Coturnix japonica: one gene and its partner. The protein of the gene in region 1 purifies or fractionates together with the protein of each later gene. This does not show direct contact. Links are inferred from orthologs where the notes say so. Each region holds a gene or a part of one and is shown in the gene's direction. Other genes may lie near its edges.

The links. The genes of interacting proteins can lie anywhere in the genome.
Region 2: the proteins of RAN (region 1) and NCBP1 purify together in Homo sapiens (co-immunoprecipitation; 3 studies listed by BioGRID and IntAct, with this or other methods). This does not show direct contact. The link is inferred for Coturnix japonica from reciprocal best matches to the Homo sapiens genes RAN and NCBP1.

The regions. Positions count from the first base shown.
Region 1 is NC_029530.1:2,657,898-2,662,627, reverse strand, and holds the start of RAN (GTP-binding nuclear protein Ran), read left to right. Parts: upstream 1-1,764; 5' UTR 1,765-1,895; intron 1,896-2,682; 5' UTR 2,683-2,689; coding exon 2,690-2,725; intron 2,726-3,436; coding exon 3,437-3,521; intron 3,522-3,609; coding exon 3,610-3,735; intron 3,736-4,705; coding exon 4,706-4,730. Other genes in the region: STX2 (syntaxin-2), read right to left, coding at 1,428-1,523. UniProt on the Homo sapiens protein: GTPase involved in nucleocytoplasmic transport, participating both to the import and the export from the nucleus of proteins and RNAs. Switches between a cytoplasmic GDP- and a nuclear GTP-bound state by nucleotide exchange and GTP hydrolysis.
Region 2 is NC_029547.1:62,565,597-62,569,877, reverse strand, and holds part of NCBP1 (nuclear cap-binding protein subunit 1), read left to right. Parts: intron 1-2,564; coding exon 2,565-2,675; intron 2,676-3,732; coding exon 3,733-3,797; intron 3,798-4,233; coding exon 4,234-4,281. UniProt on the Homo sapiens protein: Component of the cap-binding complex (CBC), which binds cotranscriptionally to the 5'-cap of pre-mRNAs and is involved in various processes such as pre-mRNA splicing, translation regulation, nonsense-mediated mRNA decay, RNA-mediated gene silencing (RNAi) by microRNAs (miRNAs) and mRNA export.

The DNA.
Region 1 (4,730 bases):
CAGCAAGTACTTTAACAGTGTTTAAGCACCAAACACAGTGTATCAATGAGAACATCAAAAAGCTACAATGTTATACCTTGACAAACCAGGAGCACTAGGACAGTGGTTAGGGCCTGGAACAGGCTGCCCAGGGAGGTTGTGGATGCCCCGTCCTTGGAGGTGTTCAAGGCCAGGTTGGACGGGGCCATGGGCAACCTGATCTATGGGGTCTCTATGGGGATCTATGGGGTCTCTATGGGGATCTATGGGGTCTCTATGGGGGTCTATGGGGTCTCTATGGGGATCTATGGGGTCTCCTGGGCAACCTGATGTAGTAAATGTGTATGTTTGGTGGCCCTGCCAGGCAGAGGGGTTGGAACTACATGATCCTTGAGGTCCCTTCCAACCCGGCTCATTCTGTGAGCACTGACAAGTAACATTTTTCCCTCTTGGTATAGAGGACTCACAGAAGCCATGACTATTTCTAACAGCACACAAACTCCAGTTTCTATTTCCTCCGAAACGAATAGCACACAACCAAAAAAGGAGACTACATGCAACATACACCATTGCTATTTATTCCCAGATTAGGAAAATTAAAAAAAAAAACCATGCGGGAAATCTTCCATTTCAACCATACCACATCCTATGGATGAGAAGCATCAGCTCAGCTCCTTTTCTTTCTCAGAACACCGTTTCCAGAAAGCGAATGAAGGGGAAGGAAGGGAACGGATAAACACGCCACTCCTGTGGTGGTGCCGCCTCAGCTGCCCGGGCCTCGCGCCCCTCCCCGACCGTTACAACCATAGCGGCCCCACAGCTCTCACCTCAGCCAGGTCAGCCAGCCGGTCCTTCATCCCCTCAGCTCCTCAGCTCCGCTCGTTCCTCACACAGCCCCGTTCCAACGACCGCCGTATCCGCCGCCGCCCCGCTCAGGCCGGGCCCAGCGCTCGGCCCCCCCCCCCACACACACACGACGTCACGACGAACCGGAGCCCGCACCGCAGTGCGCATGCGCCAACCGAGCCCCGGGGTGACACCGGGAAGCGCGCCTTGGATCTGCTGACGTCACCATGCTGGGCGGGAAGGGAGCTGCGCATGCGCGGGGCTGCGGCGGGAGGAGAATGGGCGGGAAAGGGCGCGGGAGCGCGGGGAGTCCAATAGAGACATGGGGTGGTACCGGTGTGGTTCAGATGTGGTCCCAGTGTGGATCAGGTTGCCCAGGAGACCCCATAGAGACCCCATAGAGACCCCATAGATCCCCATAGACCCCATAGAGACCCCATAGACCCCATAGAGACCCATAGAGACCCCATAGACCCTATAGAGACCCCATAGAGACCCCATAGATCAGGTTGCCCATGGCCCCGTCCAACCTGGCCTTGAACATCTCCAAGGACGGGGCATCCACAACCTCCCTGGGCAGCCTGTTCCAGGGCCTGACCTACCTTTAGTACCATCCCTTGTGGTCTATGAGATAAGCAAACTACAGCACAGTGCCGTGCCTCCTCTGCGTTTTCTTTCTGTATTTCCACTAAATGCATCTTTGCTCTTTGGAAGAGCTTATCAACAACTTTTTTTTCCACTATAACCTGAATGTGAGCGCTTAGGGAAGCGCTATGATGCAGCGTGGAGCCACATAGGGCTATGTCCTATATCTCTATGTCCTTTAGCAGGAGCATTGTGCCCCACTAAAGAGACATAGACACGAGGTGCCGGATCAGAACCAACACAGACACGGGCAGAACCGAACCGGGCCCAGCCCAAGTCCCAGCTCCGCCCGCTCACGTGACCCCAGCCCCTCCCCCTCCCCGCTGCCGCGCGGCGTCGCTGTCCGGGTATTTGAACCGCGCTTCCGCCATCTTCCCAGCGCCCAGTCACGGCACGGAGCGACGCGGTTAGAAGCCCCGGGAGAGGTAATAGGGATGGGATGGGGTTGGGATGGGGTTCTGTTCCCTTTAGGGCCGGGTTATGGGGATGTGAGGCTGCTGTGAGGTGGGTGGACGGTGTTATAACCGCCGGGTTGGGTTGTGTTGAGGCCGGGCCCGCGTGAGCGCCGTGCCTGCGTGGCGGCCTGTCCTTGTGGCCCTTATTGGAGCCGTGTGGGGTGAGAGCGGAGCCCGGCTCATCGCTGAGGTAACAGCGGGCGGTGTGTGGGATGGGAATCATGGCAGCGGGGCCTCCAACGGTCCGGGCGGCTGTTGGGGGGGGGGGGGAGGGGAGGCGGCGCTGCTCAGTCATGGTGGGATGGGGATGGGGGCTGCGACCGGCCCGCACCACCCGATGAGGTGTTTGGAACGGGATGTGCTGCTGTGTTTCATATATAAAGGCCGGAGCCGCCTTTTTAATAGTCAGGCCGCGGCTCGGCCCCGTTTATCGTAGCGTGGAAGCCCCAGGGGCGCGGTGGTGGCGGCGGCGGCTCTTCCGTTACGGGCCCCGGGGGTGGGCGGGGAGCTGCCGCCGCCATTACCGCGCGCTGCCGCCTCGTATGGGGCGGTGATGGCGAACCGGGACCAGGGCCGGGTGGGGAGCATCGGCCCGGGCCGAACTTGGGGCCTTTGCAGCGGCTGCCGATGGTTGAAACGCGGAGCACGCGGCCCGGGAGGCGGTTTGGAAGCCGAGAAGCTCGGCCGGCCCCTTCCGGCGGGGCCTTGAAGCAGCTCGGCTCATTGAGCTCACACATGCTTCCATTTCCCCCTGCAGACCCAGCATGGCCGCCCAAGGAGAGCCCCAAGTGCAGTTTAAGGTAAAGGATCCTTTCTATTTTTCCTCTCCTTCCATAGAAAAGTAGCAAGAAGAACTTCCAAGAAGTGCCGTGGATGGTGGATTTGGTTTTAAAGTGCTGACTTCATCGATGTGTTGAGCTGATCACGTACTGCATTGCCTCACAACAGCATTCTATTGTCCTATCAATCTGGTGCTATTTGCTGCTTTACCAAAAAAATAACTTCACATAAAAACACCACTTAAAACGTGGTGACTTCATGGAGTGATATTCACAGCAACGAACAAAGAGTGCTAAAAGTGACTTAGAGCAACTTGTTTTATGCCACATCAACTACTGGGGTGGAACATAATGGAGCAGAGCTGTTACCTTAACAGCCAGAAGTCTTATGGCTGCTGCATTGATTGATGCTTGTTTTTTTTACACTGTTCATCTAATATATCCCAATTGTTAGTAACACAGGTTTTCTTTTTTTCCAATTGCAAGATTACAGTTCTTTTCTCCAGCAATTCAGATGCTTGTATTTTATTATAACACATCTTTAGCACAATGTGTTCTAGTTCTCAGTTACAGGGACTAGTTAAGTTTGGACAGGACTTATAGAATGACTCGTTTAACAAATTAAAACCCAACATAGAAAGTTACTTCATTGGGAATTTTAGTGTTTTCTTCACGGTATTTTGTAAGACAAACTATGTCGCTCTGACCTTCTTTACTTAAATGTATTAACAGCTTGTCCTGGTCGGTGATGGTGGCACCGGTAAAACAACATTTGTAAAACGTCATTTGACTGGTGAATTTGAGAAGAAATATGTAGGTATGTCTGAAGAAATACTCAAGATCTTGTGTGTTACTATCGAAAGTATAATTGACAACTTGCTGACTGTTCTTTCCTATTACTGTAGCAACATTGGGTGTTGAAGTTCATCCTCTGGTATTCCATACTAATAGAGGCCCTATTAAATTTAATGTATGGGACACAGCTGGCCAGGAGAAATTTGGTGGTCTGCGAGATGGCTATTACATCCAAGGTAAGATGTGCTCATATGTAGTTATGTCCTGTGTTCTGTTCAGTTTGGCCACTCTGAGAGCTTTTAACATGGCTTACACTGGTGAGCTCCCTTATGAGTGTTGGAACTTTGTATAAATATAGTCAGATCTGTTTCCGTACTAAAACTTAGTTTCAGTCTGTGAAACCCATTGCTGTGGGCTTTGATTTTACTGAAGAGTAACTGTGCACCTTCAGTGATAGTACTCATGAAATTAAGTGGTTAAGAGGTAAGTATGCGTAAGTGAGTAAAAATTACCTGTATTGGTATCCTGTGCTGCTGCAAAGACTTGGAAGAAACATACTATAAAACATAAAATAGTATAAAGAAGTTCTACATGTCCTTGGCTGAGGCTAATGGCCTTTCTAAAGGTGTAGTAATAGAGCTTGACCTTGAAGATAAGGGACTGTTCTGTGAGTACTTCAGTCACCCATGTACCTTTTAACATTCTGCAAGACAGGTTTAGAGCCTGACTTTTCCTTTAGAAGTATCAGAATCAAGTGTTCTTTGGCAAGCTGTTCTGGACAGGGGCATTCTGAGATGTGAACTACAAGCTCTCCACTTATCTGAAAGCCTCAATAGGCTGAGATTAGTTCAGTAGCATTAAGACATTTTTCTCAGGTATTAAGGTGAACTAAAATTCTTTTGTAATCATTGTGTAGTCTGTGCCATGCAACATTAGAATTGTCGCATGATGCTGCATGAATAGAAGCAGCTGGCATTTAGAGTTAAGCACCAAACATATGACAGGGTCATGGGCTGAGTTCTGTGGACTCCTGCACAGTGATTATCTTGCACTTTGATCTGGTAAATGGCATGTTCTCAACTGTGAGACTGAAGAGAAACCTAATGCTGGCACCCCTAATAACTGATTATTGTGGGTACTCTTTCCCACTCCAGTTTATAAGAAAGTGGTTACCTGCCTGATGTAATTGTTTGGTTTTTTTTACAGCTCAATGTGCCATTATAATGTTTGA
Region 2 (4,281 bases), on another chromosome or scaffold:
GCTAATGACCTGTCATCCAAGTGTTGTTGTTTCCTGTCTTGAGAGCAGTAGCTCTGTACTTAACGTGTTCCCCAGTGCCTTTTTACCATACATTTCTTAACAACATAATTGAAACAGAATGGCTTCTGTGTACTGTGGCTTTAGTTTCACATGCACACACTTCTCAGCACTGTAAAGTCTCTGTGGATGATATCCCTTCCTTCTGCTGCATCACCTGCACCACTCAGCATAGTGCCATCAGCAAATCTGCTGATTGTGCCAACCCTGCTTTCTAGGTCACTGATCAAGATGTTGGAGAACACCAGTTCTAGGATGGGCCCCTGGGGATCACCAGTCAGTCACCAGCCTCTACATGCTGAACACAATCCTCTGGCTGCAAGCATCCAACCAGTTATTTAACCACCCTTCAAATCTGTATTTCTCTAGTTTAGGGATAAGGATGTAGTGTGGTGTTGCACCAGAAGGGGTTTAGGTTGCATATTAAGCAAAACCTTTCCTCAGAAAGGATGGTGAGGCATTGGAACAGGCTACCCAGGTAGGTGGTGGAGCCACCATCCCTGGAGGTTTTCAAGAAGAGTGTAGATGCAGCATTGATGGATGTTGTTTAGTAGGCATGGTGGTGATTGATTGGTGGTTGGAGCTGAGCACGTTAGAAGTCTTTTCCAACTGTAACTATTTTATGAACATGTCAAAGGCCTTGCAGAAGTCTAGGTAGATGGTATCTCTTGCCTTTCATTTGTCCACTGATGCTGTCACTCCATCACAGAAGGCTGCCAGATTGGTCAGGTATGGTTGGCCCTTGGTGAAGCTCTGCTTGCCGTCTCATATCATCTCCAGTTTCCTGCCTTCTCTGCTTAGTAGATTTCTTATGCTGGGGATGGAGAGTTGTCTTGAAACTGCTGCCAGCTCTGTACTATTCCTTTGTCCACAACAACAGCTTTATGGGGATCCCATCCAGTAATTCTTCAAACAGATGAAATGTCACTCTCCTGAATGTCAGGGTCCCGGCTTTGATCTGTGCCAGGCCCATCTTCCTTAAAATCACAAACTCAAACAGGATGTAGTTGCTATAGCCCATGCTGCCTCCAGTCTTAACCTGTTTCATGATTTCAACTGCATCAGTGAGCTCCAGGTTCAGTAATGCTTCATCCCCTGTTGGTGCAAGGAAGCTGTCCTCAGTAGCACTGCAGAAGTCTCCTGGATTGCTTAAGGCTCACCATGTTGCTTTTCCAGCAGACATCCATGTGGTTGAAATTCCCCATCAGAATGGGGACAGACCACACATCTCTTGCAGACAAAGCAAGAAGACCTCATCAGTGGGCTCCTTGATCAGGGAGCCTGACCACCAGAGGTCCCTTATTGGTATGGTCCCCAGAAGCACTCAACCTGATTGTGACTGTTTTCCAGAGGCAGCTGTTCACACTCTGTGCTTATAGAGCAACTCCTTCCCCACTCCTTCCTTGCCTGTCTTCTGAAACGTTGCAGCCCTCAGCTGAAGTGTTTCCAGTGTTGTGACTTGTCTCACTATGTTTCTGCAATGGCAACTACATCACAGTTTCTAACTGCACCATGGTGTCATCTCCTGCTTATTTTCCATGCTGCATGCATTGGTGTAGAGGTACTTTGGGCAGGCTGTTGGCCACGATGCCTTCTTGTAAGAGCCCTCTGAGACAGATCTGAGGTTTTTCTTTGCTGCTTTCTAAAGTGACAGTGTTTCCTGGCTCTTCTCTGTCACTTAAAAGTACAAGCTCTTCCCCCATCAGATCTTATTTAAAGTTCTCTTAGCCCAGCCAGCTTTCTGCCCATTAAATTGTTGCTCTGTCCCAACAGTTGCATACCATCCAATGTCAGCCTACCCAATCTCTTGAAGGTGTGTCCAGAATCACAGAACCCGTAACCCTGAGATTGATACCATTCCTGCAGCCAGTCACTGGCATGGTCCTTTCACTGCATCCACGTGGGTCACAGTCTCCAGCCAAGAAGAATGAAGAGAACACTACCTGTGTTCCTGATATTTCTGTATCCCAAGGGAGGAGCTTATCGTGTTTTTGTCATTTCCTTGTGGCTTCCTCATGTAACTCATCTTGAAAGAGCAGGAGTGGATAGCAGTCCTCCATCTTTATCAGACCCAGAAGCTTTCTCGATGGAGTTCATCTCCTTATAGAGTATAGAGTGAAAAAGTACTGTCTAATTTTCATGTTGGTTGTCTTTCATATTGTATACTTAGGCTTTGCTTAATGTGTTTAATGTTTATTGTTTAGTAGAACCAGGTTATTCCCACTTTGTTTTGCCAGCACCATTTGGTAACGCTAAATAGAGCATAATGTAGATGTATTTCTTAGATGTGTCTAATGCTGGGACTGTGTTGTGTTAGTACAAAACGATGAGAGTGGTTTAGAATCTTCTAATATGATGTAGAGTTACCACTGTCTTTGTAAGCATCACCTTTTTCTCCTTTTGCTTGACAGAATAATAACAGCCAATTTGAGTATGTGCTTGTTTAAGGCTGATGTTGCTGATCTGAAGCTGACTGTGCTCTGATTCTATGCCTTCCTCTCCTGCAGGTAATTTTTGCAGAGTTGTTTCAGCTTCCTTCTCCACCACACATCGAGGTCATGTACACAACGCTCCTGATTGAACTGTGCAAGCTTCAGCCTGGCTCTTTACCACAAGTTGTATCCTTCCTTTGTTTCCAGAGAGCATTTTTAAAATGGAGTCTTTATGCCACTTGTTCTGTAGGTGAAGAAATAGCAATAAATATTGTCAGTAATCTATTTTACAGCTGCCATATGAGGCTTTGCTTGTAATACTTGCATGAAAGAACAGCACAGCCCGTGTAGCATCGGTCTAGTCTGGGTGACTGAGCAAGACTACTCAGATTTCTGAACACTACGCTGGTACTCCTTTCACTTTCCAAAGAGTTGCTGTTCTAGTATCCTGTTAGGACTGCATAACGTGTGGCCTGATTGCATATTGAAGGCTGAGAAGGAAAGGAAGGGATAAACTTAATCTGTGTGAGCATAGCAGATCATTTAAAATGAACCTGCACAAGTTCCTACTCAGATGCTCTCAGTGGAAGCATCTGGACATGGAAATCCAGACATGGCCTCACCAGGGCAGGAAAGGGAAGGATCACCTCCCTCAGTGCATTAACCACACCTGTTGTAATGCACCCCAGGGTACCATTGGCCTTCTTGGCCAAAAGGACACATTGTTTGAAAATCACGTAATGCCAGTGATTAGAGCTAGAAAGGTTCCTAGAACTGTGGGATCTCTGTGCAGAAGGCTTTTAATGTTAATAGGGATGCTGTAAAAGAACAAAGCCTTTGTTGGGCAAAGCCAGCGTAGACACAGTTTCTTGAGTTTTCAGTTATGATCAAAGGTTGTTTGTGCATGAGTATCAAGAGCAGCCTGTTAAGGTACAAGGAAGGTTACAGAAGTACTTGATTGTTATCTGTTTGTGTCTGTACAGTTCTGTTGCGTGAAGAGAATTCTAACTTGGTGTAGCAGACAGCAATCTCACTGCCATGGAAGAGAAACAGTGTTAGATGGGAAAATGCTTTTTGGCTTCTTGTCTTTCTGTTATCCCCCCCCTATGAATTTAGTGTGATTTACCTGCTTCTGGAATAGTCCAAAGGAGCTATCAGTTCTTGCAGTTCTATTCCAAAACTGAATGGAATTGCATTTGATTTATCCTAGTGCTTTTTTGTTAACCTTAATAAGAAACTTCAGCTTGCACAAGCCACAGAAATGCTCTACATGCGTTTGGATACAATGAATACAACCTGTGTTGACAGGTAAATGTGTTTTCCAGGGATGGAAAATATTCTTTGTTTTTTCTATGTGCTGGGCATTAAGGAATCTACAGAAAAAATAATCCAAAATTCTTACTATAAATCCTTAGTGCCATTCAAAACAATTTTGGAGGGCTCTTGATATGATCAATGTAAATAGAAGTTTGGGGCCTTGTGCCCTTTCTTTCTAAAACACTCCGCTATAGTGCTGGCAAGAACTTCTGTGTATCCATCCATATGGTACAGTAGGACATGACACTCTCTCTTGGTCCAGAATATCTGGTTTCTGATTTTCCGAACTTAGTCTTTTGACAGAAGTGTAATGCTGTGCTGCCTTTGGCATATAGAATGTATTTACAAGAAATTCTCAAAGGAAGGAATTTTCTGCACTCTGAATATTTAATAAAGCTTTTTTTTTCTTCTTCTTCTTACAATGAAGATTCATTAACTGGTTTTCTCACCACTTGAGCAACTTCCAGTTCCGTTG